2 linked regions of the Diceros bicornis minor genome follow. The protein of the gene in region 1 interacts with the protein of each later gene in a pairwise test. Links are inferred from orthologs where the notes say so. Each region holds a gene or a part of one and is shown on either strand. Other genes may lie near its edges.

Evidence for each region.
Region 2: the proteins of RTN4 (region 1) and SNX15 interact in binary tests that used the Homo sapiens proteins (3 or more experiments, as listed by UniProt). The two-hybrid records come from large-scale screens. The link is inferred for Diceros bicornis minor from reciprocal best matches to the Homo sapiens genes RTN4 and SNX15.

Annotation. Positions count from the first base shown.
Region 1 is NC_080751.1:31,380,050-31,396,920, forward strand, and holds the start of RTN4 (reticulon-4), read left to right. Parts: upstream 1-8,235; 5' UTR 8,236-8,509; coding exon 8,510-9,074; intron 9,075-9,126; exon of another isoform or gene 9,127-9,141; coding exon of another isoform or gene 9,142-9,384; intron 9,385-10,395; coding exon of another isoform or gene 10,396-10,525; intron 10,526-16,871. UniProt on the Homo sapiens protein: Required to induce the formation and stabilization of endoplasmic reticulum (ER) tubules. They regulate membrane morphogenesis in the ER by promoting tubular ER production.
Region 2 is NC_080770.1:8,107,326-8,123,559, reverse strand, and holds the start of SNX15 (sorting nexin-15), read left to right. Parts: upstream 1-9,303; 5' UTR 9,304-9,418; coding exon 9,419-9,517; intron 9,518-12,511; coding exon 12,512-12,547; intron 12,548-12,744; coding exon 12,745-12,865; intron 12,866-14,056; coding exon 14,057-14,172; intron 14,173-14,269; coding exon 14,270-14,417; intron 14,418-14,728; coding exon 14,729-14,872; intron 14,873-16,234. Other genes in the region: ARL2 (ADP-ribosylation factor-like protein 2), read left to right, coding at 85-149, 3,269-3,379, 3,475-3,637, 4,734-4,814, 5,680-5,814. UniProt on the Homo sapiens protein: May be involved in several stages of intracellular trafficking. Overexpression of SNX15 disrupts the normal trafficking of proteins from the plasma membrane to recycling endosomes or the TGN.

The sequences.
Region 1 (16,871 bases):
GTATTTCCTGGGAGATTTTTCAAATTTATCTTCCAACACTTCTAATAATTTTTAAAAAGTGCAATTAAAAAATTTTTAGTGTGGAAAAATATACATTAAATGTACTTTATTCATTTAAACCATTAAGTGCACAGTTCAGTGGCATTAAGTACATTCACATTTTTGTGCAACCATCACCACTATCCATCTCCAGAACTTCTTCATCATCCCATACTGAAACTCTGTACTCATTCAACATTAATTCCCCATTTCCACCTTCCCCTAGCCCCTAGTACCCACTGTTCTACTTTCTGTCTCTATGTAGTATTTGACTATTCTAGGCACCTCATATAAGTGGAATCATACAATATTTGTCCTTTTGTGTCTGGCTTATTTCACTTAGTGTAACATCTTCAAGGTTCAACCATGTCGTAGCACGTATCAGAATTTTATTCCTTTTTAAGGCTGAATAATATTTCATTGTATGTGTATATCACATTTTGTTTTTCCATTCATCCATTAATAGACATTTGGGTTGTTTCTACCTTTTGGCTGTTGTGAATAATGCTGCTATGAACATACAATTGGTTTTAATTTATGAACTCTCATGTTCTCTGATTTTTTTCAATTTTTATTGTTTCTGTTTTTGTTTTATAGAGTGATATCTTCTTTTATCTCTCTCTAAATATTATAATTTCTTTGATATTTTCTTCTGTTCTCTATATGTCTCTGTTCCCTCAAGTTTCTTTTTCTGTTTGTTTTCATTTTTAGCTTTCATTCAGGGCTTTTGTCAAGTGTCTGGTGGTTCTTGTGTTTTGTTTTATGTTTAAAAGCGAAGTACTAAAAAAATGGACTGGAAGCTCTGTGGGGAAAAGGGGGTAGGTGAGACCGATCAGGTCTTTTACTGGGGTACTCCAAATGCCAATACTTTGAGGAATTTTCACTGCAACCATTTTGTTTCTGCACAAAAGAAGTCTCCAATTTCCTGTCTGTGGGAGAATGAGGTATAGGGGACAGCATGGGCTGGGGGAGCAGTAATGATGGGGCAGCAGAGATATGTTTAAGCCTTGTGGTAGACTTTCTGGGAGCAGGGAGGGAACATGGGGGCCAAGGTTTCTCTTTTACTTAATCCACTTGTTTTCAATCTGGCACCTCCAGGGGCTGAGTCTCTCAAGTGTTCTGTGGCACAAAATGACTTGCGTCTAGTTGATATTGCCCCTTGAGAGGTATTTAGGTTGTAACGTCATACAGTCTTCTAAGTCAGTAACTGCTCCTCTGCTTTTTGTCTTTCAAAAATGTGTTGAAATATTTTATCCACTGTTGTCTCCTCTCTTATTTTCTTTGTCCTTGTTGGTTAATACCATTTTTATTGCTGTACTGACATTTTAATGGGGTTTTGGGAGGAAGAGGAAATGAACAGATAAGACGCCATATTTAACTCATTAGAGTAAATAGCATTTATCATGTGTAAATGATTTACAACATTTCTTTTACCACTTGACAGAAAAAATTTCCACTCAGGACAATAAATAAAACTCAGATAAAATGGAAATGCTAGATCACAACAAGTTTGTAGTAACAAAAGGAAAATGAGTTTCAAAAAAGACACAGGCAGAGCAATACACTACAGCATTTCGGGTGATGAATGTGTTCCTGGGTTCTCTGGAAAGTAGAAAACAAGTTGAGTATGAGTAATATAGATCTGTTGATTTTTTAAAAAAAATCCTATACCTTGGGGGGCTGGTCTGGTGGCGTAGTCGTTAAGTTTGAGCTCTCCACTTCAGCGGCCTGGGGTTTGCAGGTTTGGATCCCTGGCGTGGACCTACACATTGCTCATTAAGCCATGCTGTGGCGGCATTCCATATACAAAATAGAGGAAGATGGGCACAGATGTTAGCTCAGGGCCAATCTTCCTCAGCAAAAATAGGAGGATTGGCAATGGATATTAGCTCATGGCCAGTCTCCCTCATCGGAAAAAAAAAAAAATCCTATACCTCATAAATACAAGTAGTATATAAAAGAATAATTTATTATCTAGTTAATTTTGTAATTTAATGGAGCTTGCTTAATCTCTTACTGCTTTTCTTCCAGCCATTTCTTTCTCTCTAGCATCTTCATTGGTGGATGGTTAGTTACAGGAAGAGGAAAAGTCTACCAGGCAATTCTACTACTTGTTATTGGCTAAGAGGCTGAAGCTACCAGCTTAATGAAGGTTTAAGGATTATCTGTGGTTTCAATTGTTGGTGCTGTCCCTGTACCTATAGATTACTTAGTGCTAAATATAATTATACTAAGCATTTACTGGAATACTATTTTGAGTTCTGAGTTTAATATTTAAGGTGAATGGAGAAGATAAAATGAGCACCCATTTAAAAACTAAAGAACTAGACCTATGAAGAAAAGCAAAAGTGAGTTGTTTCTTTTTTAAGTTGTTTTGCCTGGGAAAAGTAAAGGTTAAATGGAAATAATGTTGTTCAAGTACGTCCAGAGATGTTTCGTGTTGATGTTTCCCAGGGCTCTATTCAAGGCCTTTTTCTCCCATGGGTAGCAGACAGTATCCATCACCCTGCTTGGCCATCCTCTCTCCGTACCCCACCATTTTTCCTCAAACCTCTACCCATGAAACCTAACCAACAGGTTTAGGTATCTGCTCTCCAGACTAGATCTAAGCTCCAGCCCTAGTTTTGCTTCTGCCTTCTGATTATTTCTACTCAAATGCTCTGCAGGCAACTCAAGTTCAATGTATCTAAAAACTTAGGTCATTATATTCTCCCTAGCATTACTCACCCATTCCGTGCTCCTCTCCTGACTTCTTTTCTTTGATAATGGCAGCACCCATTTACCTTGTCACCTAACCTTAAAGCTTAGAATCAGCTTTTCTTTCTTCTTTTCCATCAGCCCCTCCATACCATTAGCCACCAAATTCTATGAATTCAACTTAAATGTTTTTCAAATGTATCTTCTCCTATCTCCTATGCTATTAGTTTAGGCTCTCATCAACTTTTGCCTGGACTACAAGTAGTAATTATGTTTCACTTAAACCACAGTAGCTATAATAAAGTTATTGGGCAAAGATTACCTGAAATATTATAATATTCTGTTTCCTTACTCTAGCACCCATAATCCATCCTCTATCAGTGTTATTTTTGTAAATTAGTAATCGGATCATCCCACCATCCTTCTTAAAGACCTTTAATAGCTCTCTATTTAGAGAATAATGCCTCCACTCTTTAGCGTAGCATTGAAGATCCTTCACAGTCCGTACTTAGCTTATTTTTCTGGTTTTAACCTCAATCACCTTCCACTTCTCTAGCTATACTAGAGACCTCTCTATGCCTTGAATCTGTGTTGGAGTTTCACTCCTCCTTGACTTTGAAGGTGTTATTTCCCCTTCCTTAGATCCCTGTCTATCTTTCTCTATCTTAAAAGATTAAATATTAACTTATTATATGAAGACTTCTCAAAATCCTGCTGGAATATGTCTATGTCTGTCTGTCTCGCTCTCTATATATATCATATACATACAGTATATATATTCATACACATACGTACATATATACACACACATATATGTATATATACCTATATATTCTTATGTAAACTAGATGCTATGTTCCTTGACATTAGGAAATGTGTTTTATTTACTCTTTATCACCAGGGTCTAGATGCTCAATAGATTTTAGTTGAATAAATAGTGTTTATTCTAAAGATAGTGACCACCTGATTTCTATTTCCATAGATGATAAAACAACAAAATTTATACTTCAATCTTTAGGTATTAGAAAGAGTGGGTTATATCCTGGAATCTGTTATTTATAACTCAGATAATTTTGTGAACTCTTCTCTGTAGTTCTTTTTTCTCATGAGGACAGATTTTTTATTTGTCTAAGATAGGTTTAGGAATTTCTTTGCTTGGATTTGTGCTGCTAGATAAAAATTAATTTTCTGCTGGACCAAAAATAGTTTTTCTGCTAGATCAAAATAAATTTCACCAGAGAAATAATGCATATTAAACTAGCCTAAAGAAATGCAGTATTAATGCAGAGGACCCAAGAAAGTTAAAGGAGAAGGATGAGGTTCAATTTTAATAATGACTTTCACTTGTCTATTATGTGATTTCTCTTTGGAACTTAAATTTTTAATTTTAGGTCCAGCGCTAATTGTCAATGCATAACTAGCATGGCTGAAGATGTTGATCTTATGTATTCATTTATTTCTTTACATTTATTACGGAATAAACTTAGTATAAGTCAAGATGTTAACCAGAACCAGGAATGCATTTCACAAAAAGGTACATTTCATGAAATCATGAAATCTAAAATCCCAGCAAGATGGTAGGGATAATGACATAGCCATTATGAGTTCCAAAAGGATGCTTCAATCTTTTTTGAGTACAAAGGTTGAATGTAATTCAGTGGTGCTATTGAACACAAGCAAGTCATTTTCAGTGGGCAAAAAAGTTGTGGTGCACAGCTTTTGAAACAGGGTTGTCAGGAACTTGCCTCTCATCTTTCTCCTATGGTTGCTGAACCCACTCTCAAGTCTGCATCCTGCAATATGCAGGCAAGAGTATATCCATGCTACACATTTTAACTCTTTCAGGGGACATACATGATGCAAGGATAATTAACCTGTTCTCTGTATACCAGATTAGGCGTCAACTCAGCATTCTGCAATAAGGTATACTACTATAGAAATGGAATGGGCTATTTGCCTAAGTAGTGAGTCTCCCTTTACTGAAAATGTTCAAGCACATTTGTGTCTGATTTGTTCAGTGCTGTATTCCTAAATCTTGCACAGTGCTTCGTACAGAGTAAATACCCAATAAATACCTCGTGTATGAATGAATAAGGCACAAAATAGAAGCACAAAAGGGATGATGTTTCCATTAGCTTTTGCTGTGTAATGAACCATCCCAAAAGGTAGTAGTTTAAAACAGCAATGATTCATTATTTTTCATGATTCTGTGGGTTGGCTGGACAGTCTGAGATGGTCTCACATTTCTGGGACATCAGCTCTACGGCTGGGACAGCGAGGTCTCTCTCTCCATGTGTCTCGCGTCGTGGGCCTCAGCATTCCAAGAGTGAGAGTGGAAGCTGTCATGCCTCTGCTGGTTAGGCTTGGAACTCATTTCCAGGGCATTCTATTGGTCAAGAAAGTTACAAGGCCAGCTCAGAAGAGGTAGGGAAATTGACCCAAACTCTTGATGGGAGTTGTTGCAAAGAGTTTGTGACCATTTTTAATCTACCACAGATGCTCAAGTTTAAAAAACCTTCTGTAGAGAATTCTTGTAATGGGAGGGAGACTGGTCAAGCAGACCTCCCAGAGTCCTTCTGATTCTGAGATTCTCTGATTCCATCAGGCTGAATGGACCTCTTGCAGCATTCTAAGACAGAAGTTACTAACCCATGGTATCTGGAAACTTGAATCTTCTACATCTGGTAAGATAACCCAAAGATAATTCATGGAATAATTAATTTCTAACTATTAATATGATCCACAATTTATATTATTCCTTTAGCCATTTCAAATATCAACCAGAATTTTCTTATTAGTGAAAGTGATTCTTACATCTAGTTACACTAATGTAAGTACACTAACTCTACTTTTAATTTTGGTATAGCAGCAACATTCTCCTTTCCTTATGCTTTGTTGACCATTCTATGAACGCTGGGTAAACTCTTTCCTTTTTATTCATCAAACACTTAATTTTTTAGAAGTCGCTGAGATCAATAATATAAAATTCTTATTTTTCTTCTGCAACAGAGGACCGTACTTATATTATTGCCTCAATATTTACTGTTATTTACTGTTAAATTGTAAATCTACCACTTTTCTGTAATCATTCTTTTATGACAGTTTTAATAAAGATATTCCCTTGTGACTATTTTAGTAATAGCAGGTACACAGATATATGGATGCAGACATATCGTATAAGCAACTGACAAATAATATATGAAAATCCTGTGAAATTGTCCACTGAGGAGTTTCAAAACAACCACAGTGGAAAAGCCAGTAAGGGGAAGATTGAACTGCTGATAGCCAAATTGTGACTTAATAGAAAAAGTTCATACCATAAAATTTTACCAGTATATTTTTGTATGTGTATACACTTAGTTGGAAATCACGTACATTTTTGATAATTTTTGACAAATATTTAAAAATATGACTATTTAATTATCATTGTAGGAATCTGTTTTAAAATTTTTAGTTTGGCATTAAACCTCCTGCCCCCAAATTCTACACTAATTCTTCTCTCTTCCTACTCTTTCTAACCCTTCAAAATAAATAAATAAACAAACAAATAAATAAATAAAACCAAACAAGCTCAAAGCAATTCACAACCATTTTTTAGAAATAAAAATTTTCTGTTTTTTAAAAAAAATCTTTATTTCTTAGACTAGTTTTACATTTACGGAAAAACTGAACAGAAGAGAGAGTTTTCGTACACTCCCATGCTCACCCCCCAACCAGTTTTCCCTATTACTAACATCTTGCATTGGTGTGGTACACTTGTTACAGTTGATGAACTAATATTGATATATTATTTACCCCAAAGTCCACATTTTACATTAGGGTTCATTCTGTGTCACACGGTTCTATGAGTTTTGCCAAATGCATAATGTTATGTATTCATCACCACAGTATCATACAGCATAGTGTCACTGCCCTAAAAATCTCCTGTGTTCTGCCTATTCATCCTTCCTCCCTCCTCCAGCCCCTCCCTTTCCTTGTTAATGCTCAAATTAAGCCTAGGGTAATATTAATCAGTTGGAGATAAGAATTTGCTTAAATAATCAGTGATTCCCCTCATGGCAATCAAAAATTCTTAATCATTAAACTAGCACTGTCCAATAGAAATATGTGAGCCATATATGTATTTAAATTTTTCTAGAAGCTGCATTAACAAAGTAAAAAGTGAAATTAATTTAGTAATATATTTATCCCAATATATCCAAGATATTATCAATTCCAATGCATAACCAATATAAAAATTGAGATATTTAATTTTTCTGTTACTGTCAAAACCACGTGTGCATGTTAAACTTACAGCACATCTCATTTCAGAGCAGTCACATTTCAAGTGCTCAACAGCCACAAGTAGCCAGTGACTAAGGTCTTGGATAGTGACAGTGCAGGCCTAGACTGCGAGCAACTTGAAAGCAGGTTATCCTCCTTTCTTCACAGCCTCCAGATTAGACATGCAGCGAATATTTTTGGAAGGTATATCAGAAAGATAAAAGAGCTCTCTAAACCTCTGGATGCTGATACTTAAATGTTCTGCAACCACTTTCTTTAAACTCTCTCTCCAGTTTTGGAAAAAGTGGAATGGGGATCATGCTCATTCTGGTATATCAAAGAAATGAGTATTGGGCTTCCTGACTCCCAGAAAGCCTGAATCATCTGAAATGTTGACTCATGAGCCTAAGGTGACTGAAATGTAACGGGAACCAAATATGCCTTCCAAGGCTTGGTTCTGTTTCCACTTTCCTCTTTCCCCTCCCTTTCTCTTCGGGTGACTCATCCTCCTACCATGTGCGAGTCCAGCAGCGGGCAGATCCCAAAACTATCCTGAGGAGATGAGCGGATTTTCAAACGGTCTGCTCCAGACCCCGGATCGTCTAGTCCAGCTCTGTTTTGCCTACTTTATCCAGGGTCTGCAGTATAGACTGGGAGTGATCTCAAAACTGTCAAAAAACATTATTTTTTCTTTTAAGGTGGTAATGGTAATAGTGATGAGGTGGTTTGAAAATCTGTTTGAAAAAATATCTTTTATTTCAAAATCTTTTAAAATTTAATGTATACTTCAATCCTTAGGGCCTACTCCACAGTCCCGTTAGTTAGTACCTTTCTCCACTCTGGGTTCTTCCCTTTCCTGGGAGGGAAGTTTCCACTCCCAGTCCCCCAAGATAACGCCCTTCCGGTGGCGCGGCAGGAAGCTCTTCGACCCATCAGGGCAGTCAGCTGGCTGGCTTTCGCAGTACCCTAACTACAGACTGACCTCCAGCTGTAGGCAAAGCCAAGACCCCAGCTCGACCCGCACCTACCCAAGGTGGAGGGTGGGGCTCCCAGTTCCAAACTCCGCCCATCGAGCCCACCCCAGCCGGTAAGAGAGAGGAAGTGCGATAAGCCCCACCCACCTTCCTCTTTTTTCCTTTCCGTTGGGCCGGCTTGTTGCCCATCGTCTCTATCCCGTAGCCGATTGGCTTCCTCCCTCCCGCGCCAGTCCCTGCCTCTCCCTGCCGGGGAGGGTGAGTCACGCCAAACTGGGCGGAGAGTCTGCTGGCCTCTCTCCTTCGCTCGTCTGGGCGGCGGCGGCGGCAACTGGGGACGGGGCGGGTGGCGCATCACGGGCGCGGAGGCAGGAGGAGCAGTCTCATTGTTCCGGGAGCCGTCACCACTGCAGGTCTCTCGGCTCATTCGGCCCTGCCCCTCTCAGTCCTCCTCAACCCCCACAACCGCCCGCGGCTCTGAGGAGAAGCGTCCCGGCGGCGGCAGCTGCTGCAGCATCATCCCCGACCCGCCAGCCATGGAAGACATGGACCAGTCGCCTCTGGTCTCCTCGTCCTCGGACAGCCCGCCCCGGCCTCAGCCTCCGTTCAAGTACCAGTTCGTGAGGGAGCCCGAGGACGAGGAGGAAGAGGAGGAGGAGGAAGACGAGGACGAGGACGAAGACCTGGAAGAGCTGGAGGTGCTGGAGAGGAAGCCCGCCGCCGGGCTGTCGGCGGCCCCACTGCCCACCGCCCCCGCCCCCGGCCCCGGCGCGCCCCTGCTGGACTTCGGCAATGACTTCGTGCCCCCGGCGCCCCGGGGGCCCCTGCCGGCCGCGCCCCCCGCCGCCCCGGAGCGGGCGCCGTCTTGGGACCCGAGCCCCGCGTCGTCGGCGGTGTCCGCGTCATCCCTGCCCTCCGCTGCCGCAGTCTTGCCCTCCAAGCTCCCCGAGGACGACGAGCCTCCGGCCAGACCTCCCCCGCCTCCCCCGTCCGGCGTGAGTCCCCAAGCCCAGCCCGCGTGGACCCCGCCCGTGCCGACCCCTGCCGCGCCCCCCTCCACCCCGGCCGCGCCCAAGCGCAGGGGCTCCTCAGGCTCAGTGGGTGAGTGCAGCGCCCTCCCGCTCCGCGCCGCCCCTCGCGCCCCTCCCTCTTTTGTGTGCCTTCCCAGATGCCTCGGGCCGAGCCCTCCCCTTGGTTCCGAGGGGGCTTTGTCTGCGGACCTCGGGGCGGAGGCGCCCCCCGTGGTGGGAACCGCGTGGAGCAGGGTGGGGCGGCCGAGGAAGCCCGGGCTGGTTCTATCGTCTGTCTCGGTATCGGGAGCACGTGCGCCCCGCCGTCCCCCAGGTTCTTCCCTCTGCTCCCCGTTCCACTGCGTTCCGGAAGTCAGGCACCCAGCCCTAGTCGGAGCCGGGTGTGTATCGAGGAACTAGGGTTGTAGATTCATTGCGCTGGCTTGGTTCCGGCGTGAGGTTGCAAAGGCCTGGGCGGCCTAATCTTTCGTCCACCGGTCTGGGTTGCCCCCGGGGAAAAGGCGCAGTTTCGCTGCTAGTCTGTCTGCCCGCATTCAGCCCTGGTCCCCCTCCTTACCCGCTCCCTGGCTTGGGTGGCCCCTATGCGCTTCATCCCCCTCCCGCTCCTGTTGCGCTGGCGGGGAGCTGGCCCAGTGGAAAATGTCCACAATGACCCAGCTGCAGTGAAGGGAGAGCGCCTCCAGTGGTGTGGCGCTTGGAGAATTGGGAAGGAGAGAGTTCTGGCGAAGTCCTGCCACCGCCCAGCTGGTGATGTGGCGACTCCGCACCAGCTAAACCGAGCCAGGGAAATGGGATCTAGGCATTGTGTTCCGAGCGGGGTCAGTTCTGCCGGGGTCTCAGCCGCAGAGTGAGAGGAATTGCTGATAGTGTGGGCTGGTTTAGCTTCTTAATGCATCAGAATTGAATCGTAGAAAAAGAAAAGGCAAAATGGTTGACATTTTTAAAGAAGAGGAAGCCTGTGGATTCCTTGCTGGGAATAGGCCAATTGAATTTGTGGCAGATTTACTGTCAGACTTAATGAAATGTTTTGAGACAGACGTTTTCATATGTTAGTTAGAAATACTGTTTCTTAGATTTTATATGTTTTAGGTCGACAGAGACAAATCTGTAAATAGTTTTCAAATCTTTTCATTCATATAAGTACCTGATCGTATATTATTTTTAGGAACATTGTTTCATTACGCTTTTCATCTTGGCTAATTGTTTATTTTGGAAGAGAAAAAGTCAGGTTTGTTAGAGATTGATAATTCATAGACAGTATATTAACTTATTAATAAGTAGCTTGTTACTTTTGGGACAGAAAGTGACCCACTAGCAGTAGGACCTTTCTTTTAAGTATATGTAAAAGTCAGGAATCAGGTACAGTAGTCCCCCTTTATCCGCGGTTTCAGTTACCCACGGTCAACTGCAGTCCAAAAATACTAAATGGAAAATTCCCTACGTCACAATGCCTACGTCATTCACCTCACTTCATCTCATCACATAGGCATTGTATCATCTCACATCATCACAAGAAGAAGGGTGAGTACAGTACGCTAAGATATTTTGAGAGAGAGACCACATTCACGTAACTTTTATTATAGTGTATTGTTACAATTCTATTTTATTATTAATTATTGTTAATCTCTTACTGTGCCTAATTTATAAATTAAACTTTATCATAGATATGTATGTATAGGAAAAAACATAGTATATATAGGGTTCCGTACTATTCACAGTTTCAGGCATCCACTTGGGGTCTTGGAATGTATGCCCCATGGATAAGGGGGGACTATGGTAATGTAACTCCCTGCTGAGAAATCTTCATAGCCTTGAAGGATTTTAGAAATGGTTCATTTTCTAGAAAAATAAAATCAGTCTGAGATCACAGAAGAAATTTCTCTTTTCAGTTCACTCCTGCTCTGCAACAGGAAAATAAGCCAACTGTGATGTTTGAGTAACATTTTGATATTGACATACTCCAAAGCATTACTCAAAACACTAATCACTATATTCAAGATATTAGAAGATGAAGAGTAACTCAGTCTTTCCTTTTTCTGAATCAGAAACACATATTTGAGAGAAACTAAGGTAAGGTAGAAAAATAGAAAGTAATAAATTTGCAAATGGGAAATTTAATGATTAACAAGAGCATACTAATTTGTCATTTTGTATTCCTGCATGGGAACAAAGAGAAGAGTTCTGTTCTTTGAACATTAGGGATTCGGGAGGTGACAGCATTCCCTTGGAATTTGACGTTTGTAATACTAAGTTTGAAAAACAAAGGAGAGTTGCCCACTCAGGGACTCTATCTTTGCATAGTTCCTTAATTCTGTATTGACAATGCCTATTTGGAACCTTTAGTTCCTTTATTAAATGCAGGAACATCATGATTATGGTCATGGATAGTTAAACCATTTCAGTGAGTCTAGATTTCTTAACCGAGTTTGTTCATTCATTCAGTTGATTATTGATGACCTGCAGAGACAGGCACTGTTCTTGGCTATCAGGGTATAGCAGTAAGCAAGACACATGTGCTCCCCATGAGAGGAGTACAGATAACAAGCACATAAATAAGGAACTCAGTGTAGTGGTAATGTTATGAGGAAAATAAACAGGATGATGGCATGGAAAATGATTGGGATGTGTGGGGGCCTTTTTAGATAGGGTGGCACTGAGAAAGGCCTTTCTGAAGAGGTGAGATTTGAGCTGCAGAGATCAAAAATTTCCAAGCAACTCCGAGGAGGCAAAAGCCCTGAGGCAGGAATGCGCTTTGTGTATTTGAGAATTTGGTAAAAAGACTAGTGAGAAAAACAAAGGGGAGAGTGGTGTGAGGGTCAAGAGGTGGGCTACACTTAGATCATTGGGTGTGTCTAACAGCCCATGGTAGAAAGATTGGCTTTTTTTAAGGAAAATATTGTTTATTTTAGAAATATGCTCCTTAAATATATTGTGATTTGGAGTAAAAATATAGTTTTGAAGATTTAGAAGACCTGAGAGGACTGATGTGAGTAAAGACAAAGAAAGTGAGAAATATGCAGAGCACGGTTAGAAAGAAACATAGACCAGCCTGGCTGGAAGAGGGTGTATGTTACTGAGTATGGCAGAACCCTGACACCGTGTATTTAGCATTGCCGTTTACACTATTTTTGAGTAAACTCTTATTTCCATCACTTGGTAAGTTGTAATTTTGCTGTTTGCTATGGTGCTTGGAGCATCTCCATTGCAGTGCGGTAACTGAAGTGAGACTGAAGCCTCTCGCGTGGTGACCGTTTTTCATGGTGAAACCTTTGGCTTCAAGTTGAAAAGGTGGTTGGTTAACCTAGGCTTTGAGGATATGCAAGGGCAACTTCGGATAGAAATTGAGTTGAGAGAAATGCAAACATTATCATTAAGGATGACATTGAGCTGATCTCTGGACATGTTCTAAACTAGTGTTAATTAAGATTGAAAATGTGTGGTAGATCTGGAATCTGAATTCAATGCCAAATTAAGGAATTAGGGTTTTATCATCCTGCTGTTACCATGCTCATTCATCTATAGTTGCTCTTGCTTTCAGTAATTTATATTATGAAACCAAAAATGTTTTTGTTATTGTTTCCCAAGTATAAAGTTATTTCATGTTTTTTCACCACACTCCTGAATTATTGCTTTCGGTATTGGGAAGCCATTGAAGATTATTGAACTGAGGCGTGGCATTATGAAAGCAGTGTTAGAAAAATGAATTGGTGACAATATTTTAGATAGGTTGGGAAGAAAAACAGGGGAACTATTTAGAAAGCTTTTGCAGTAGTTCTGAGACAGGTGAGTAGAGCCTGAACTAGTTCATTACTAGTTCATTCAGTGAAAATGGAATAGAAGGGAAGCGTGATTTCTTTGATTGGCTGTGAATGTATATTTTTATAGTTAGGTTCGGAAGAGTTTATGAAAGAAGGACTGATAAGACTTGGAGACTTTGGATGTAAATGCAAAAAAAGTTGAATCAATTTCAGATACTGTTCAAAGTTGTTAATTGCAATGGAAATTTGTATAGAATTTAATATTGCTCATGTGTATAGGTTATGGCTTGGTGATTAAAAACTATTAGTCTTTTATAAAGACATTTATTATATGATCATTTATGTTGGCATAGGAGCACATATTAGAAATGTTAAAAGATTTTGAGTGACACGTAGTTTAAATCTTAAGTATCAATTCTTAACAAGTAAACAGTGATGTGACGCTCCCAGGAAGTAGATGCTTATAAAGAAAAAGATGTCATGCCCTATCCATTCCCCATCTTCCTTCCATTTTTATCTAGAAAATGATAAAAAGGAATAGAACCAATGAATTTAGAGATTCTGGGTAATTTCTGTTGTTAAGCCATTTTTAATCTTTTGACTAGGAATAAAAGTTGGGAACAGGTGATGTGCTCCTTATGGATAAGGTGAATTACAATTCAGATTGGTTCCTATGAAGTTCAGTGCCAAATTTATAGTCCTTTTTAAGTAACTCACAAGCTCCCTCAAATCTTTTTTTAAAATAATGAATATATTTATTGAAACTTTGATAAATATCTGATTATGTGGAAGAGTATTTAGAAAACACGCTGTTTTAGCACTGTATCACTGTAAACTTAAATTTGCTCTATATTATATAAAACATTTCTAAAAAGTAGCATATTATCTATTGTCCAGTAATTGGCTCTGTGTTATGTGTAGTTGCTTCATAATACACCTATAAGCAGTTTATTTGAAACATTACTGACGCAAGGCCCTAATTTATTTATTTATTTATTTTTTAAGATTTTATTTATTTTTTCCCCCCAAAGCCCCAGTAGATAGTTGTATGTCATAGCTGCACATCCTTCTAGTTGCTGTATGTGGGACTCGGCCTCAGGATGGACGGAGAAGTGGTGCCTCGCTGCGCGCCCGGGATCCGAACCCGGGCCACCAGCATCGGAACGTGCGCACTTAACCACCAAGCCACGGGGCCGGCCACAAGGCCCTAATTTAAATGGCACCTTTTAGAGGTACTTTGCTAGCTCAAGGTAAAAAATACCAACCAAATGGATGATATTTCTTGATTCTTCCCTGGACCCTCTGATTAAATAGAAGTAAATGTTGCAGATACACTATTCTTATAGTACATTCTTTGAGACTTTTTATTTCTCTTTCTAAATATAGACACTGGAAGGTCCCCGTGTGGGTACAGCACCAGGAATGGGAACTGTAAGGGCAGAACCATAGTTTGTCAGCAGTGTTTAAATGGGTGAATGTGGCCTTTGTGTCTAGCTAGTGTAGAATATAGTGCAGAATGGTAAGACCCAGCTTTACTGATGCTAAGGTCTTCTCAGACTGATGGCTTCATCATTCTTTTCAACTCTAAAGGAGGAGTTGATAATTTCACATTTAAGCTACTGTTTTTTTGTTTCTTGGAATGGTGATTATTAATTTTTAAGTTGCTTTCCTCATCTGTTCCCATAACATTCTATTCTTACCTCATTGTATATATCATACTATATATATGATAATGGTATGTTTACTCATCTCTCTTCTCCACTAGACTGTAGCTCCTTGAGGAGGGGGGCTATATGACCTTTTTTTCCTTGAGGAAAAGCACTATATGACATTATATCTCCATTGCTGAGCACAATGCCTTAGATGTGGTGTAGACACTCAGATATTTGTTGAATGAATACAGTGTTATAGATGAATGCTGACTTCATATTCTGTATAGTACTAGAATTACTACAATATTTTTTCCCGATAAAAGTCTCAAGTTTTATGAGTTAAAGCATTTATTTACATAGACAAGGTATATGGATGTACCATATTTTATTTAATCAGTCTCTTATTGATGATTATTTAGGTTGTTTCTCAGCTTTTTCTGTTATAAATAATGTTGCCGTGAACACCCTTATATGCACTTCTTTCGGAATGCATACTGTTATATGTGTTGTAGGATAAATTCATGCAAGTAGAATTACTGATTCAAAGAGTATGTACATTTAAAATGTTGATTGATAATGCCAAATAGTCCTATAAAGAGTTGTTCCAACCCATATTCCCATCAATAATGTGTTAAAATGCTTTTTTCCTTTTGCCTTTACCAACACAGTACATTGGCAGACTAGTAAATGGTTTAGCAAATTGTTTTTTTAATTTACATTTCAAAGGTTTTTTTTATAGGCTTAGTTGCCAATAAATTTTTTCTGATCACAGCTTTTGCTTATTCTTCTTTTGGGTTTTTGTTCTTATAGATATAGGAGCACTTGATCTATTGTAAGGAAATTAGCCTTTTGTCATATGTCTTGAAAACTTTTTTCCTGATTTGTTATTTGTATTTTGACCTTTGGTGTTTTTTTGTGTGTGTGCAGAAATTTTTACACAGTCAGAATTATCATTTTCATTGAGTTTTGTGGAATTCTTTGAAAGGCTTTCTCTAAGATTGTAAAAATTTCTCCCATGTTTTCTCCTAGTAATTTTATGATTTAATTTTAATATTTAATTCATTCTTCTGGAGTTTATTTTGTTCTAGAGAATGCAGTAGTGATATAATTTTATTTTTCAATATGATTTCCCATTTGTCCCAACAGCAATTATTGAATCATCCATCTTTTCTTTACTATTTTGAGATAACACTTTTGTCATCTGCTTGTAGCATGAGTGAAATATTTTGTCTTCTCTTCCTTTTATTTGTCTGTTCATGCATTAAGTACCAAACTATTTTAATTGCTATAACTTTTTAATAAAGTACTAGCTGATAGGGCTTTTCCAGAATTATTTTTCCTGGCTATCCATGCATGTTTAATTTTGTACTCGATCTTAAAAGTTTGTTTATCTAGTCGTCTCTCCCTCCGTTGGAATTATAGTGAGTTGTTATTACATTTATAGATTAATTTAGGGGAGAAATTGATATATTTTTAGTATTGATATTATATATTTTTCTACAAACACATGGTTTTTATTAACATGCATTTTTAAAAATTATGCCTATAATTATGTGAAATATAGGCTTTAAAAAAGAAATATTAAGTATTCTAGCCTGTGTGGTATGAAACACGTGAAATACTGGGTTATATAGATATTTGGCCCCCTCTTTTCAATTGATTATAGATAGCCTGGTAAAGAAAGATAAGTCTTCCTGCTTTTTCATTTCTAGAAAACATTTTGTTTTGAGAAGTGAAGAAACATTCTTTATACTCCTGTAGTAGGAGCTGTAGCTGCTAAGTATTGGGTTAATTTTTAGCAGTCTCTGAATCTTTTACTTAGGTGGTCCTCTAGTTTTAAAAAAACATTATTTCTTTAATGGCTTATTCTTCTCATTGATGGAATTGTTACCAAGATGAAGAAGGCGTATAAAGTTTTGTTGTTCAAATAGATTTGGCAGTTGTCTAGTTATATTGGTGGTCCCTTGGAAGTTCAATATTAGTTAAGAAAAAGTTAACATACTCCACGCTTTTTTTTCCCTTAAACCAGGCGTAGGGCTGAGTATGGGGACAAAAAGATAAGTAGAGGTTGTGCTTATGAGAGGTGCGTGTAGCAGATTAAGGGCAAAACACAAGCCCCTAGTTGTAAAGTCTTTTTTGCTGTCTTAAAAGCAGACGAGTCTTGTGGTTTTACTCTAAGGACAATCATATATTTTCTTACCTGTCAACAGCTTTTGTGAAAGGAGGAAAAACCTTACTTGGGTTCCAGGTCTGCCTGCACATTTTTTCCTCCCCTACTTTACAGATTGACTTGTAAACTTGACTAATTAGAAAATGCCATTATTATATTTCTTTATCTCAGTGTTCTGACACCTCTAGGTGAAGCTGACCTAAAAGGTTTTAAGCTACTGGAGTCTTTGATTTCAGAAAAGAAGGGAATTTACTTTTTAAAAATTCTATTCTCCATTGTTCTAAGGA
Region 2 (16,234 bases), on another chromosome or scaffold:
CGGTGGGAGTGCTAGCCAATAGGAGCAAGGAGAGGGGTCCCGGGACTAGAAAGAAACGGCGGCCGAGAGGGGGCTACCGCGACCATGGGGCTTCTGACCATTCTGAAGAAGATGAAGCAGAAAGAGCGGGAGCTGCGGTTGCTGATGCTGTATCCTCCCGGACGCCGCAGCCGCGGGGGTAGCGAGGGCCCCGCCGGGCGGGCGGTGCCAGGCGCCCCCTACCGGGCGCGGGGGCCACGGCCGGCCGGCCCGTACCAACTGCCCAGTGTGCGTCACGCACGTGGGCCCTACCAACCGCTCCTGGCGGGGGGCCGGAAGGGGGCCGTACCACTGGCTCGGGCGGGGGGTCTCCGTTCCCAAGGCCAAGGGTGTGGGCCTGAAGGCCCGCAGTGTAGGGGGGAGGTGGGGCCCGGAGGTGACCCGGACGCCACTGCCCGTCCGTCTGGCCCGAGGAGGGGCCGGTATCCTCCCCGGCTCTGACCTCCTCCCCTCTGTCTGAGGGGGGCCAAGCCCGGCCCCGCCCTCAAGGTCGGAATCCCTGGGGCGTTTGGAACCCGCCCTCCGCCCGGGGGCAGGCGGGTGTGGACTCCGCGGGTCGTTTCGACCGTGGATCGAACTGTCCCTCTCATTGCTGCCGCTCGGCCCGTCGGTGTCCCCGCGGCTGGCGGCCTGTAGGCCCGGGGCCCCGCCGACCTTCTGAGTCCCATTACCAGGCGTCCGCACTGGTTCGCCCTACTCTGTGAGGGACCCGTGGGGGCTCTGCGATCTGAGAGCTGGGCGGGCCTGACCCCGAGCTCCCCTAGCAGGGGAAGGGAGACATTTATGTGCGCAAATAAGTTAAAATAATAGTCACATCGTGTCTTAAAGAGCTCCCAGAAAGGCACAGAATTCACTTATCCGATCAATATTGAGCGCTTACTATGTGCTAGGCGCTGCCCTAGGTGCTGGGGGAAACAGCAAAATAAAAAAATCCTACCTTCATGGACGTTCTATGATGCTGGGGGGAGAAAGATATTAACAAAGCAAATGAGTAAAATATATAGTATGTATGGAATAGAATGCAGTCTAAATAAGCTGGTTAAAGAAGGCCACATTGAGTAAGTGACAGTTGATTAAAACAGAGAGGTGAGGGATGAACCATGTAGGTATGTGGGGAAGATTGTTTAAGCAAAGGGAACAGCACAGGCAAAGGCCTCGAAGGAGGAGCTCAACTGGTGTGTTCAAAGGGACGTCAAGGAGGGCAATGTGGCTGGAGAGAATGGGCAAGGAGAATACTAGAAGATTAGGACAGAGAGGTGGTGGAAGAACCACCTCCTGTAGGGCCTTGTGGTTCATGGCTTTTTCTTTAAGTGCAGTGCAGAGGGGAGGTGTGATCTGAGACCAGCTAGGCCCTTGCTCTAACCCAGGAGAGACAGCCTGGTGGCTTGGGCCAGGATGGAAGCAGTGAGGTGATGGAAGCTGGGGGACATTTTGACAGTAGGGCCCCCAGGAATTACTGCTGGATTGGCTGGGAGTGTGAGAGGGAGAATGAAATCAAGCCTGACTCCTAGGGTTCTGCCCTGAGCAATTAGAAAAAGAGGAGCCACTTGCTGAGATGGCTCCTCTGAGACATCCTAGAAATGTCAGATAGGCAGCTGGATGTAGGGACTGATGTCCAGGGGAGCAGCTGGGTGGGACGTATAAATTTGGGTGTCATCAGCATAAAGATGGTGTATGAAGCCGTGATCCTGGGTGAGAGCACTGAGGATGAGTGTGGACAGAGAAGGGAACCCAGGCTTACCTGGATCAAGAGGTCAGGGAGATGAGGATGGGTGATTTGGGAGGCAGGTGTACAGGCAAGGGCATGTCCTGGAGCAGAGGAAGGGGCAGGCCGCTGTCTCACGTGCTGCTGATGGAGCAGGAAGACGAGGGGTGAGGACTGCCCGGCCACGGGAGGGCTACGTGCGGGTCTTTAGGGGCTGACCTCAGTGAGAGCAATTTCCAGGAAGCAGTGGGAGCCTCACGGGTTCAAGAAAGGGCAAGAGGACAGAAATTGAGAGGGCGAGTATGGACAACGGTTTTTTGTTTTTTTTTTATAATTTTATTTATTTATTTATTTTTCTCCCCAAAGCCCCAGTAGATAGTTGTATGTCATAGCTGCACATCCTTCTAGTTGCTGTATGTGGGACGCGGCCTCAGCATGGCCAGACAAGCGGTGCGCCGGTGTGCGCCTGGGATCCGAACCCAGGCCGCCAGCAGCGGAGCGCGCACACTTAACCACGGGGCCAGCCCTGGACAACGGTTTTGAAGAGATTTGATATAAGGGGAAGGAAATAGAGGAATAAGTAGGGGGGAGAGGGATCAAGGGAGGGTATTGTTTGCTTCTTCTAAGGTGGAGAGACCCCAGCTTCTCAGCTGATGGGAATGATCCAGCAGAGAAGGAAACGTGGATGATGGGGTTGGGGGTGAGGAGATAATCTGGGGCTGAGGCTGGGTCTCATGAGAGGTTCTCTCTCACCCCCATTTCACTGGTTTGAGTCACTCACCCAGGTCAAGTGAGCAGAAAGGCTGCAGAGGCCAGGGCCTGGGTCCCCCTCCCAGCTGCAAGCCCCCTTAAGTGTTGGAAGGAAAGAGGAGGTGGTTCTCTCCAGCTGGTGAACTTACCCATTCGTTTGCACACTCATTCAGCAGCAAAGGGTTTGGAATATTCCAGAAACAGGTGACGGTGGCTGCCACCAGATACTTGGTTGTGCTGTTCCCTCTGCCTAGAATGCTCTTCCCTCAGTCCTTCAAAAAGCTGGCTTCTTGTAGTTTGCCTCAGCTCAAGACCCTCAGAGAGGTGCCCGAGCTAAAGGAAGCTCCCTGATGGCCGTCTCCAAAAGCTTCTTCGTTGTATCTCTGAAGTTTCCCCAGATCCAACAGGACCTGTTTCCCATTTGTTTGCACTCTACCAACTGTCTCTGCACGAGAGTGTAAGCTGCACAAGGGAGAGGGCTTTTACTCTGGGTTTCCCCTGCACAGAAGAGGGCCTTGCATATAGGAGATATTCAATAAATATTGTGAAATGAATTAAGGAGCCTTTGGTCAGGAGGAGATGATAAGATATTTATTTCTTGATACTTTCACATTTATCATGGTTCACATTTATCATGGGCCGATTGTGGGTCAGGCATGTGCTCAACTCATTTTGATACGTGGTGGGAAAAGATTTGTCCCCTAAAGACAGGGACGCTATAATGATGTCACCGCCCTGCATAGCATGGAGACTGCTCCTTAACCTGTGCCCTAGTGGCCTGGACAATGCTGGCAAAACCACCATCCTCAAGAAGTTCAATGGGGAAGACATCGACACCATCTCCCCAACGCTGGGCTTCAACATCAAGACCCTGGAGCACCGAGGGTGAGCGGGTCCCTGTGGGCGGGCCGGCCGAGAGCAGGGCAGAGAGGGTGGACGAGGGGCCAGGCTGACCCTCCAAGCATCCCCTCCCTGTCCAGATTCAAGCTGAACATCTGGGATGTGGGCGGCCAGAAGTCCCTACGGTCCTACTGGCGGAATTACTTTGAGAGCACCGACGGCCTCATCTGGGTGGTGGACAGCGCCGACTGCCAGCGCATGCAGGACTGCCAGCGGGAGCTCCAGAGCCTGCTGGTGGAGGAGGTGGGCGGGGTGCCTGGCCGAGCAGGGGGAGCGGGCTTCCGCCAGAATCCAGGCCCCGATACTTTACGCACACACGTGGACGTGTGGACACCTTCCTCAGCAGATTTCCTGAGGGGCCCCTGACCCCAGAGGGACACCTGGGGTGGGATCTCTTCCTTCTCTGAGCCAGCACCCTTGGGGAGGCAGAGACCACCTGTATACCTGGTCCAGGGAGGCCCGCAGTGCTGCGGACAGGCCACGCTGTGGACCGAGACCTGGGTTCCCATCCCTTTATGTCCCTACTTCACCACCTTGAGTGTCATCAGGTTTTTCAACTAATGGCCTTTCTCTGTTCCAGGATTTGATCCCAGCTACTGCACTGCATTTAGTTGAAAACCAGGACACTTTTAAGATTAAAGAGAGTTGTTAATAATTATGCAGGGACAACAGGTATAAACGGGACTGTCCTGGGCACACAAGGACCTAGGGTCACCTGGTATAACAGTAGCTGCCTCTCTGGGGTGTCGAGCAAGTCCATTGAAATCAGGGCTGTCACATGCCCAGGCCTGGCACGTCAGGCCCTTCATAAGGGCTAGATCCCCACCCACATGGAGGGACTCCCAGGACCAAACACATATATGGAAATAACTAGAATCAGAGGCAGAGGCCTGTCAGGGTGATGGGACAGTTAAAGGGCTACATGAACTTGGAAGAGGAAGGTCACTTCCAGCAGATCCCATGGCCCCTCGGGACACGCATTCTTTGTGCATGTCAGGTTATGAGATGGAGCAGTCTAGAACCACAGAGGGCTCAGGGATCACCCCCTCCCTGTTTGTGGAAGAGGAAACTGAGGCACGGAGGAGAGAAGTGTCCACTGGGTAGTGATTGGGCTGGAACCAGCACCCTGGCCCAGCCCAGGGCTCCCTCCACCCCATGTCTGGCCGGCCTCAAAGGCCATGTCCACACTGCCCACCCCACTTGGGCCTCTCCCACCTCCACGGGGCCTTGCCCTGATCTTCAGGTTGATCTCTGACCGCAGATGCTCTGGGTGATTAGAGGAGGGGCCGGGCTGCCCTCTGAGCCCCCTCCCCTGGGCCCCTCTGTTTCTCTCCCCCAGCGCCTGGCTGGAGCGACCCTCCTCATCTTTGCCAACAAGCAGGACCTGCCCGGAGCGCTGTCCTCGAACACCATCCGTGAGGTGAGTCCAGGCCTTGGCGCGGGCTCACGGAGGAAAAGGGGCACGCATTTCTGTGTTAATTTATTTAAAAAGCATTTATTAGCCCCTGCCATGCAGCAGGACCTATGCTGGGCACTGGAGACTCAGTGATTAATAAGACACGGTGGTGTCTCGCAGCCTGCGGGCGGCAGCCCTGCAAATAGATTATTCCACAGGTTAACAGTAGCCACAAAGAGTGAGCACTTTCTGCATGCCAGGCTCTTTGCATGGATCAACTCATTCAAGTCCCACAGCAACCTCATGAGGCAGGAACTATTATTATCATTCTACGATGGAAGCAGGCTTAAGAGATCAGGTAACTGGCCCAAGGTCACACAGCCAATAAGTAGACAAGCCAGGATTTAAAAACTATCTGATCCCAGTGAGTGCATCTTAACTCTTATTCTAGAACATGAGCACCAATATGAGAAAGAGTGGGGGTAGAATCTTGGTTCTGCCACTTACTAGCTGTGTGACCTTAGGCAGGTTGCTTAACCTCTCTGAGCTTTGGTTTCCTCCTTGGTAAAATGGCCAACACTGGCTCATGGAGCCTTGGGCAGAATGGCTGAGAGGACATTTGTAGGGTCCATAGCGCAATACCTGGATCCTAGCAGATGCTCGGAGCCTGTGTTGCTATTCCATTTCTAAGGGGTAGGCTGGCGTGGCATGTATAGACAGCCCACATGCCTCCGGGGGCTGACAAATATTCACCAGGGACCAGGGGAAGCTTCTCAGAGCAGGACCTTGGGGGAGGCATGGATTTCCCCTGGGCCTGGAGAGGGAGGGGGGCTGTGAGCGGGCAGGGCCTGTGATCACTGGGCCCCACCAGCGCCTTCCACCCTCCCAGGCCCTGGAGCTGGACTCCATCCGCAGCCACCACTGGTGCATCCAGGGCTGCAGCGCCGTCACCGGGGAGAACCTGCTGTCCGGCATCGACTGGCTCCTGGACGACATTTCCAGCCGCATCTTCACAGCCGACTGAGTCGCTCCAGATGCCCCCCAACCTCGAAGTCCAGGACCCCCCAACCAGGCCCTCACCAAGCACCATCCATGGGGGGATGGGCATCAGCCAGCCCAATTAACACTCCCCATTCCCCTCTGTAACCTGCTGCTGCTACTGCTGCCCGCTGCCGCTCCATGGCCAGCCAGCTCCCACGGCAGGAGGGCTGCCACCTTGGCTGTAACCCTGGCTCCTGACCTGGCCCGCCTGCAGCTGCCACACCAAGAGGAGAGGGCTGGGGCTGGGAGGGGGCTGCCTGTGTTGCTCTCAAGGCTGTGGGCCTCGTCCTTTGCTCAGCTGTGAGAATAAACCATTCTTTGCTCCAGTTCCTGGCTGAGTCATTTATTGATTCAACAGCTTTCGAGACCGCCTGGAACCCACAGTCCAGCAGGGGACAGAAAGAAACAGATCATTTCAATCAGAGGGTTAACTGCTGCTGTGTCAAAGAGATGCGCAAAGAATTATAGAAGCACAGGACAGTGTGGCAACTAATTCCACTTGGAAGAATCCAGGCAGGCTTCCCAGAGGAGGTGACGTTAAAGCTGGGAGTGAAGGATGAGTAGAAGTTTTCTGGGTAGAGGAAGGGGGAGACAGTTTACCAGAGCGACTGCTGCCCTCAGTGGTGTGAATTAGAAAAAGGGACACAGCCCCACATCCGGGCTCACGGCTTATTGAATGGAACGTGGGCTGAATTCCAGCTCCCAATTTCCGGCTGCAGCTAGGAGCCCACATGCAGTGGACAACCTGTGCAGCTATACGAGGCAACATTGGCTCAAGCTGAAGAGCAAGGGCTCCTGGGAAATGGGGACGGGTGAGGACTCAGGTGTAGGAGGATGTGAGCACCAAGCAGGGCTAGCTAACAGGGCAGAGCCGGGAAGGAGCCTTCCCTGAAGGCTATAGGGCACTCTCTGAAGCAGGGGCCAGGCTGGGAAAGGAAGGGAACCAGGGTGACCCCAGAGTGGCAGGACAGATGGATGTTTTCACAAGGCCCCCTGCTCTGGTCCCACCAGTGGCTGCTTAGTCTGTAGGGTTCTGTTTGAGGCACTTACCATCTCATTGAAGAACAGCCCTAAGTGGTCCAGACCCTTTGTATTCCCATTTATATGGGAGCCGAGCCTTCAGGAGGTTATGACTTGCTCAAAGCTACTCAGCTAGGAAGTAGGGGACCTGGGGTTCGGACCCAACACACTTAGCCACTACACTCTACTAACTGTTCTCAGTTTTTGTCTCTGCTCGAGATTCAAATGCCAGGGAGAGGAGGCCTAATGTGTCTAGATGAGGGGAGGGCGGTTTTCCCAAGGGAAAGGCAAGGAAGAGACAGAGATTTACTCCAAACTGGCACTAGGATCCCCTCCTGGAGGGGCAGAGACCCGTGCAAAATCTGGGCTCTGTCAGGACGGAAGAAGGGAAATGGGTGTTGGATGGACAACCTTAGAACATAAACTGTCCTTCAAGGTAGAACATTAGAACCGCCCACCCTGTCCTCTGTGCAAGATGGATGCTGGTCCCCCTGTTCCCAAACCCTGGCGAGTGGGTTTGGGTGTGGCGAGTGACCACACCCAGGCTCCAGAGCCAAACCCCAGCTCTGCCACTCACTGGTTGATGCTGAGCAAGTTGCCTAACGTGTCCGTGCCTCAGTTTCCCCATCAGGGGAAAGATGATAGCACCTACTTCCTAGTGTTGGGATGAGGACAAAATGGGAGGGTATCTTGTGTGTCATAAACACTGGATAATGTTAGCTATAATTATTATTTGAAACACTAGGAACTCTGCCTTTTTCAAGCAGATCCAACCAATGTGAGCCCAGCCATCCACTGATCCGGTGAGTCACCCCAGTGTTCAAGTCCTCCTGAGGGCCCTTAGTAAGCAACATCCTTGATTTAAAAAGCAAATTATACATGGTTAGAGACAAACGAAAATAACAAGGTTCTGCTCATCTCAAAGGCCCGTGGCTGAGGAGGATGAGCCACAGCAGGAAGTGTGCAGCCCATGGTCAAGCGGACCCAGGGGGCACGTGGGGAGCAGGCCCCCTACAGCTGTGTATTTGCAGCTCCTCCCTCTCCCCTGCCTTCTAAGAAGGCTCTTCTGTTTGCTTCTCCTAGTGACGGAACTGGTGGAATTGGAGATCTGGAGAAGGCCAGGGACTAAACTGATTTAGATAGGAAAAGGCTTGGAGGGGACAGGGAGAAAGAAGGGGCAAAGGGGAGAACTGGGAGCTGCTGGGCCAGGGAGTGGGGCGGAGATGATGGGCGAGAAGGAGACTGGAGCCACAGCCCTGCCCAGAGAGCTTTGGAGAGAGGAGCCATGTCCAGAGGGCTCCTTTAGAGAAGCCCTGGGGTGTGACATGCCAGGAGACACCACTCCAAATCTGGGCCTCCTCCTCAACACCTCCTGGATGAACTACCTTGTTTCCAGGCTTCCGAGAGTCTGATTTGGGAATCTGCTTTGTGTTTCTTTCTGGAATGCCCACAGTGCCCACACATCTGAGTTCCAGTAACAAGAGTGGCGGTGAGCACTTGAACGCTTCACCCACATGACCGCATTTAAGCCTCACAACCCGGTGGTGGTGGTAGCAATCGAGGTCCTCGATGGCCTGCCCTAGACACAGATTACAACTGCCTTCAGCAGAAAGGACGCTTCTGGGGACTCAAGGCATTGTAATGGAGGCCGGATGTCCAGGCTTGGGAAATAGAATGCTCCAAAGGCTGGGCAGCCAAAAGCACAGCCAACTCTGTACTCCAGGAACAAGTGGTCCCCTTGCCAAGTCCTGTGCCCTCTGTCCCTCACTCAAGATTCAAGACCTCAGGAGAGAGTCCCCCACCCCGACCTGGGACCTGGGGCAAGGAAAGGAGCTGGCACCTTTGGATTCCAGGGTAGGAGGCTGGAGGTCTACACGTACAAGAGAACTACCTCCAAACAAAGATCTGGTGCTCTGGGACTAACAAAGAAGTGGGAGTGAATGCTGGACAGACCAGTAAAGGAGAAAAAGAAGCATCTCCTGCTGTAGATTCTATTATAAACATCTCCATTCTAGAGGTGAGAAACTGAGGCTTGAGTAGTTAAGGGAAATTCAAACAGCTAAGTAAGAAGTCTGACTTCAGAACCGGTGACACCATCGTGCTCCCCCGACCCTTCCAGAAAACATGAATTAGCGAATCCCATGGAGAGAGACAGGGAAATAACTTGGCTACCTCTTGCACATATTGGACACAATAAAAGTTGGGTGGATGGATGAAAGAAGGGAATTGGGAAGCAGTGAGCAGTCGTTTGGATATGTGTGATGAGGGTTTACGCTCGGATACGGTGGGCTTGATCTCTCGGCAGAGATGAGTGATCCAATCTCCCGAATCTTTACTCTCAAATAACCTAGTTTACGCTTTACCAACGACAGAGAACTTTTTAGACGCTCCCTTGGCCATGTGCCTGGGCCGAGAACTGCGCTGTCACTTACGACCAGCTCCCTGGGCCGGAGGATGAAGGGCGCAGGCCCAGGAGAGGTGGCGACTGGCAGAGGCTGACCTCGAGGGGCGGGGGCGACGCGGCGCAGGCGGAGGCCGGCGGTCAGCTCCGCTCCAGCTCGGTTGCCATGTCCCGCCAAGCGAAGGACGACTTCGTGCGGCACTACACGGTCTCCGATCCCCGGACCCACCCCAAGGGCTACACCGAGTACAAAGTGACCGCGCAGGTGAGGTGGGGCCCAGCGGGGACCTTTACCCTTTTAACAAGAGGTGGGGCCGTGTTTTACCTTAAGGCAAAGGAGCTGCTGCAAGCTCCCTTCTTAGACGACAGAAATGTATTTCCCCTTTAAGGGGAGGCTGCTTTATGAGTCTTCGTTTACTTCTTTAGCCGTCAGGGGGCGGGGCCATGGGAGGGTGCTGTCCTTTTAAAAGGGCGTGGATGGCAGGTCCCAGACCCGCCGAGTGTGGGTGCCCACGCCCTGCGTGCAGTATCTGGGCGTCGGGCTGTGAATTTCTTTAAGTTAACGTGAAAACTCCGAGGCAGCCCAAATATTAGTTCTCCAATCTCTTGGAGTAAGTTTTATTTATTGGTTTGTTTGATATTTACATAAAAGACCTTTAAAGAGTTTATTTTTAATTTTTCAAAAATTAATACTTGTCTCTGACTTTAAAAATTAATACAGTTCAAAAGAACTTAAGGAGTAAGTCTCCATCTTCACGGTCATAGCAGGCAGTCAATAGGTAAAGACTAAAGTTGATATATGAAGCGGTAACAGTGTTATAAGCGCATTGTATAGAGACATGGAGGAAACCATGCAAAGAATTTAAAATAGTAACAGTGTAACAGACTATCCCTAGAATGATATACAAGAACTGGTTGGGGGAAGACTTCACTGTAAATTTTTTGTACCTTTAGAATTTTAACGAGGCAACTATTAAACTGATGCATTAGTAACTATTAAGGTGAAGCAAAGCATAAAGACACTTTCAAAGTGATTTAAGCGCAGAATCCTAGATGTTTAAAATGAGCTTTCCCCAAATCTTTTATAATGTCTTTCCTATGCCTAAAAATACAAATAAAAAGATAGTCCCTGGGAAGATGAACTGAAGGGTGGGAAGGGTCTGTAACATTTTCCTTTAAATCTTTCTTTTGGTTTTTTAAACAAGTAACATGCATTACTTTATGTTTTTATAACTTTTAAAGATAAATAATTGTCCCTCCCTTACCGTCCCCATTCATTGTCATCTTGGGAACCATTGCTGCTAGTTTCTTTTTATTCTTGCAGATAAATTCTACATTTAAAAGCAAATATATGTAGTCACTTTATTACTGTTATTTACACACAGCAGCATTCTGCAGCTTGTTTTATTCATTTGCTGGTATTCCTCAATTTTTTTATTGCTTCACTTTTTAAATTTTTAAAACTGAGATATAATATACATAAAGTAATATGCACAAATCTTGTGTACAGCTCAATAATTTTTACACATGTATACATGTGTGCAAACACCAGTCAGATCAAGATATAGACATTTCCATCACCCCAGAAAGATTCTTTGCATATTTCCAATTGGTAGTCCTCTTCCCACAGAGGTGACCGCTGTCCTGACTTCTGTCACCGTAGATTAGTTTTGTCTGTTCTTGAACCTCATGCAAATGGAATCACACAGCATGTACTCTTTTGTGTCTGGTCTTTTTCACTCCATATGGTGTTTTTGGAATTCACCCGTGCTGTTGCATGTATAAGTAGTTTGTTCTTTTTTATTGCTCTATAATAGTAGTCCATTGTATAAAAAACCACTATTTCTTTATTCATTCTCCTGTTATTGGACCTTTGGGTTGTTTCTAAAAAAATTTTTGTTGTTATGAGTGTAGTTGTATGAACATTCATGTACAAGTCTTTTTATGGACATACGCACTCATTTCTCCTTGATATATACCTAGGAGTGGAATAGGTCATAAGATAGGCAGATGTGTAGCTTTCCTAGAAAGTGCCAGTCTTCCAAAGTGGTTGTACCATTTTATACTCCCATTCTTGCCAGCACGTGACGTCATCAGCATCTTTAATTGTAGCTGTTCTTGGTGGATGTATAGTATCTCATTGGAGTATTAATTTGCATTTCTCTGATGGAGAATGATGTTGAGCATATTTTGTAATCTTATTGGCCATTCAAACATCTTCTTTTGTGGGAAGTGCCTGTTCAAGTACTTTGCCCATTTTTTAAAGTTGGATTGTTTGTCTTTTTAATAGTGATTTGTAGGAGTTCTTTATATATACTCTGGATATGAGTCCTTTGTCACGTATACATTCCTCAATGGTTTTTAAACATAGTTTCTTTTACCCAAAATACTTTAGGCAAGTCTGTTCTGAAAAGCAAAGGCCAGGATTTCAGTCCTGTCAGTTCCTCTTACTGAGTGTGTGACCTTGCACAGGTCACGTCCCTCTCTGAGCCTCTGTTTCCTCATCTTTTTTTTTTTTTAAGGAAGATTGGCCCTGAGCTAACATCTGTTGCCAGTCTTCCTCCTTTTTTCCCTTTTTCTCCCCAAAGCCCCAGTAGGTAGTTGTATGACATAGTTGCACATCCTTCTAGTTGTTCCTTTTCCTTGTCTTTTAAATGGGCATGTTAATCATGTCTGCCTCCCTGGGATCTAGGATAATGAACAGGCAATGTTGAAAACTGTCAAGTATTCCCAGCTGTAGGATATTATTTTTTAATTATTGTGAACCAATTATAATGAAAACGAGTCTTCTTTCCACCTCAGACCCCAGTCTGCTTTTCCCGGGGTCACGACCCCGGTGACGGTTTCTTCTGTGTCCAGGAGCATTCGAGCACAGGGGCTTCCTGCTTTAAGGAAGGAGTGGCTCCTGGGACAGAACCTTGTTTCTCTAGAGAACTTGGGGTTCTTTGGTTTCAGAAGGAGATACAGGGACTTGGCCCTTTGAAGGAACTGAGATAAAAGTTGGGCTGAGGATGGACGGGCTTTTGGGGATCCTCCCATTTCACAGATGAAGAAGCTGAGGTGCATTGTAGAAAAAGTGCTCAAAGTTACACTCAACGCCTTTAAGGCAGGACACCTTGATACCAGTGGCCAGTGGCCAACGTGCACTGCCCCTGTGAGGGGGGCTGGGAGGTGCCTGGGGCGTCCTCAGATTTTACGGGGTCCTCAGCAGTCAGATGTCAGTCTCTGGTCTCACCTGGTTCTTGCCTTTTTTCCTCAGTTCATCTCAAAGAAGGACCCGGAGGATGTCAAAGAGGTGAGGCTCCTGGGAGGAAGGGGGACCATTCCCCAACTCGAGATCTGGAAACAGTAAAGGAGCAGCTGGTAACCCTGCCAGGAGATCAGCCCCGCTTCCTCCCTGTGCCCTAATCCGCACACCCTGGGGCCAGGCTGGGGGTGGGGAAGGCCGCTTCCCACCCTTGCTGGTCCGGGTCAATCTCCCGTCCCTCTTAGGTGGTGGTCTGGAGGCGCTACAGCGACTTCCGCAAGCTGCACGGAGACCTAGCCTACACCCACCGCAACCTCTTCCGCCGCCTAGAGGAGTTCCCTGCCTTCCCCCGCGCCCAGGTGTTCGGTGAGTGTTGATCCAAGCATTCAGCCTCAAGATGGAGGGAGAGTTGGCAAAGGGGACCCTGCTGGTGGGGGCTGGATAGAGGGGGCCTGAAGCTCCCAGCAAAGACACGTTTCAGAGAGCTGGAAGGGCCCTTAGAGATGGCCTCACTTTACGGGTGGGGAAACCAAGGCTCAGAGCAGCCTCGCCCTTATTGACTGTCGGGTCCTTTAACATTCCTGTTGTCATTAGCCCCGTTTTCAAGATGAGGCCACTAAGGCTGAGGGAGATGAAGGGGCTTGGCCTGTAAGTGAACCAGAATTCCTATCCATAGCCGATGTCTCCTCTAGACCTGTGCTGTCCAAAAACAGCAGCCATGAGCCACATGTGGCTGAGGAGCGGCGGGGATGTGGCCAGTCTGAACTGAGATGTTGAAAACACACTGAAAAAAGAATGCAAACTATCTCAATAATTTATATATTGATTACATGTTCAAATGAGAATATTGTAGATATGTTGGGTTAAATAGAATATATTATAAAATTAATGTGTTTCTTTTAATTTTGAAAAATGTGGCTATGAGAAAATTTTAAATTACCTGTGTGGCTCATATTATATTTCTCTTGGACAGGGCAGAGCTGTTACTTGGGTCTGGACTCACATGAGATGCCTTTTGTGGCAAGATGAAGGGTCACTCTTGGCAGGTTATGCCAGACAGCAGGGAGTGCAGCAGGCTGCTCCCCCGGTAGCATGATAACCAGGCCAGAGTTAGAGAACTCTGCGTGATACCAAGAACAGAGCAGTAAAACTGTAAAAATGGGGCAACTTGCTGTGTGACTTTGGGCAAGTCACTTTCCCTTTCTGAGCCTCACTTTCCTGCCCGTTGCATCAAAGTCAGCTGAAATTGTTTGGTTTCTTGTTGGTTGCCTGCCTCCCCCTGTCTAGGATGTGATATCCATGAGGGCAGAGACCTTGTTTCTTTCTCATTCACCCCCTGAAGTTAGCACATACTAGGCACTCAATAAACATCTGGTAAATGGGTGAATAGGGAGATTGCAAGTGCCCGCACCCCGGGAAGAGCCAGGGAAGATTGCTGGGAGAATGGGGAGGGGGCAGTGGGCTACTTAGATCCTCTTGGGTGGAACCAGGAAAAGTGGCCAGAGGCCTCTGTGAGTCACTGCTTCTCTCCCCGCCCTTTGTCTTGGGGGGCTGCAGGCCGGTTTGAAGCCTCGGTGATTGAGGAGCGGCGGAAGGGCGCTGAGGACTTGCTTCGCTTCACTGTGCACATCCCTGCGCTCAACAACAGCCCCCAACTCAAGGAGTTCTTCCGGGTAAGTGTCCCTGCTTGGCCTCCCCAGCACCTGGGAAGCCTGCTGCCCGCCAGGCTGTGCCCTGTGACTTCCCCTGGCTGGTCTTTCTCTCCTACAGGGTGGGGAGGTGACACGGCCATCCGAGGTGTCCAGGGACCTGCATATCCTGCCACCTCCTCTGATCCCCACACCCCCGCCTGATGAGCCCTGGTTGCCCCAGCCGCTCCCTGCAGAGAGGAGAGGCCTGGAGGAGTTGGAGGTGCCAGGTACATCGTGGCGGGGGAGGGAGCCAGGGCTGGAGGGTCCGGGGGGTGGGACCACACCTTCCTCAGGGATCTTAGTAAAAAGCCCGAGGTGTGTCCCAGCTCCTCTGCCACCAACCTGCTGAGGAACTCTGCCCAGGCCATATCCCTTCTCTAGGCCACAGTTTCTTAATCTGTAAAATGGGCGCAAACCCTAAGAATGGGCTTGTCTATGCCCCTGATTGGCGCAAGGATTCAGTGAGAGGGTCATTCTGTTTTGAAAGCTGGGAAATGATACGGGCAGGCATGAATGTCCCCCGTCATCTGTTCCTCAGGGGACCCCCCGCCATCCAGCCCTGCCCAGGAGGCCCTGGGTCTCCTCTTTGACTGTGGGAGCACCGAGGAGGCGTCCAGTTCCCCTGCCCGAGGCCCCCTCACTGAGGCTGAGCTTGCCCTTTTCGACCCCTTCTCCAAGGAAGGTAACAAGCTGGTGCAGGGGTGGGGGCGGCGGGAGGGAGTGCTGGGGCAGGAGGTCTTTAGGGGCAGGGAAGCAGGCAGAGCCACCACCTAGCCTGTGTGGTGCCTGTGTAAATCTGAGAATGGCATGCACGCAAATGGCAGCCTCGATGAGAATTAGAAGCAGATGCCCCTCCCTGGGTGCCACAGCCCTGGCTATGGCTTTGCCAGCTGGGTGCCCCTGTACAGTGAATAACAGTGGACAAAGGGAATGAGTCACTTCCCATGATGAGATCTTCTCCCTGAGAAAGTTCTGGAACCAGCAGGGATCACACTGCTCTGGGAGTTTTAGTTCCTTCCCTTGGAAGACCGAGAGGGGGGTTTCCTGGCTGGCTCAGGGTCCGGCTGCAGATCCTGAAGGCAGGAGAGGCATGTTGGTCAAGGGGGTGAGGCCGGGGCTCAGAGAGCAGCAGGACAAGCCCCTGGAGCGGCTGGCATGGGGGTTACCAGAGATGAAGGGCCCCCATGGAGATCCGGGTGCTGAGCCCCCAGCTCTGAGATCCAGAGATCTGACAGTCCCAGGCTCTGCGACACTGGATCTCTTCGTTCTGAAATCTCTGAGTTTATGCTGTTACAGCAACTGGGGTGTTGAAGTGGCTGATCTCACTTTGGGATCGTCATGAAACAGTTTCATTTTTGATTCCTCAACAGTCTTATAAAGCCTGTTTTGTTGGATTCCCTTCTTCGCCCTTTGGTGACCTCCTGGGCAGACCTTTAGCTTTCTGGTCAGTTTTAGGCGTTTGAGTTCTCTCATCCTCAGGTCCAATCCAAATCAGGACTCGGTCTGCCATCCAGTTTTCAGCCTGGACGAGGCTCAGGCCTGACTGGGTGGTGATGAGGCTGTGAGGAGTGCCCTTTTACTCTGCTTGTTGTGCTCCCTCCCCTCCCTGCTTCTGCCCCTCCAGGGTTGGGGAGAGGAAGAAGGGATGGAGGGGAGAAGTGGAGGTGGTGTTGCTGGGGCTGATGTACCTGGCCTCTGAGAGGCAGGTGCCCAAATACTCTGCCTTGCTCCAGCTGAGCCCCCTGGGGTACCCGGTGGGCTGCTGCTCAGGCAGGACCCTGTCCTCCCACGAGACATTCCCTCGGCCCACAGGAAAACTCCCCAAATCCCTTCAAGGCCTGGAAGTGCATTTTGCTCAGATGCTGCTGTCATGAGCAGCTCCAGTGAGCCTCTCGCCATCAGAATTCTCCAGCAAGGAGCTGGCTCTCGTCTCTCTCTTCATCACATGCACCAAACTCCTGAATTTAAGCACTAGGGTGTCCCAAGAACTCTTCTGTCTTCTGCTCCATTATAACACAGGCGGGGCTGTAGGTCCAGCTGGGAA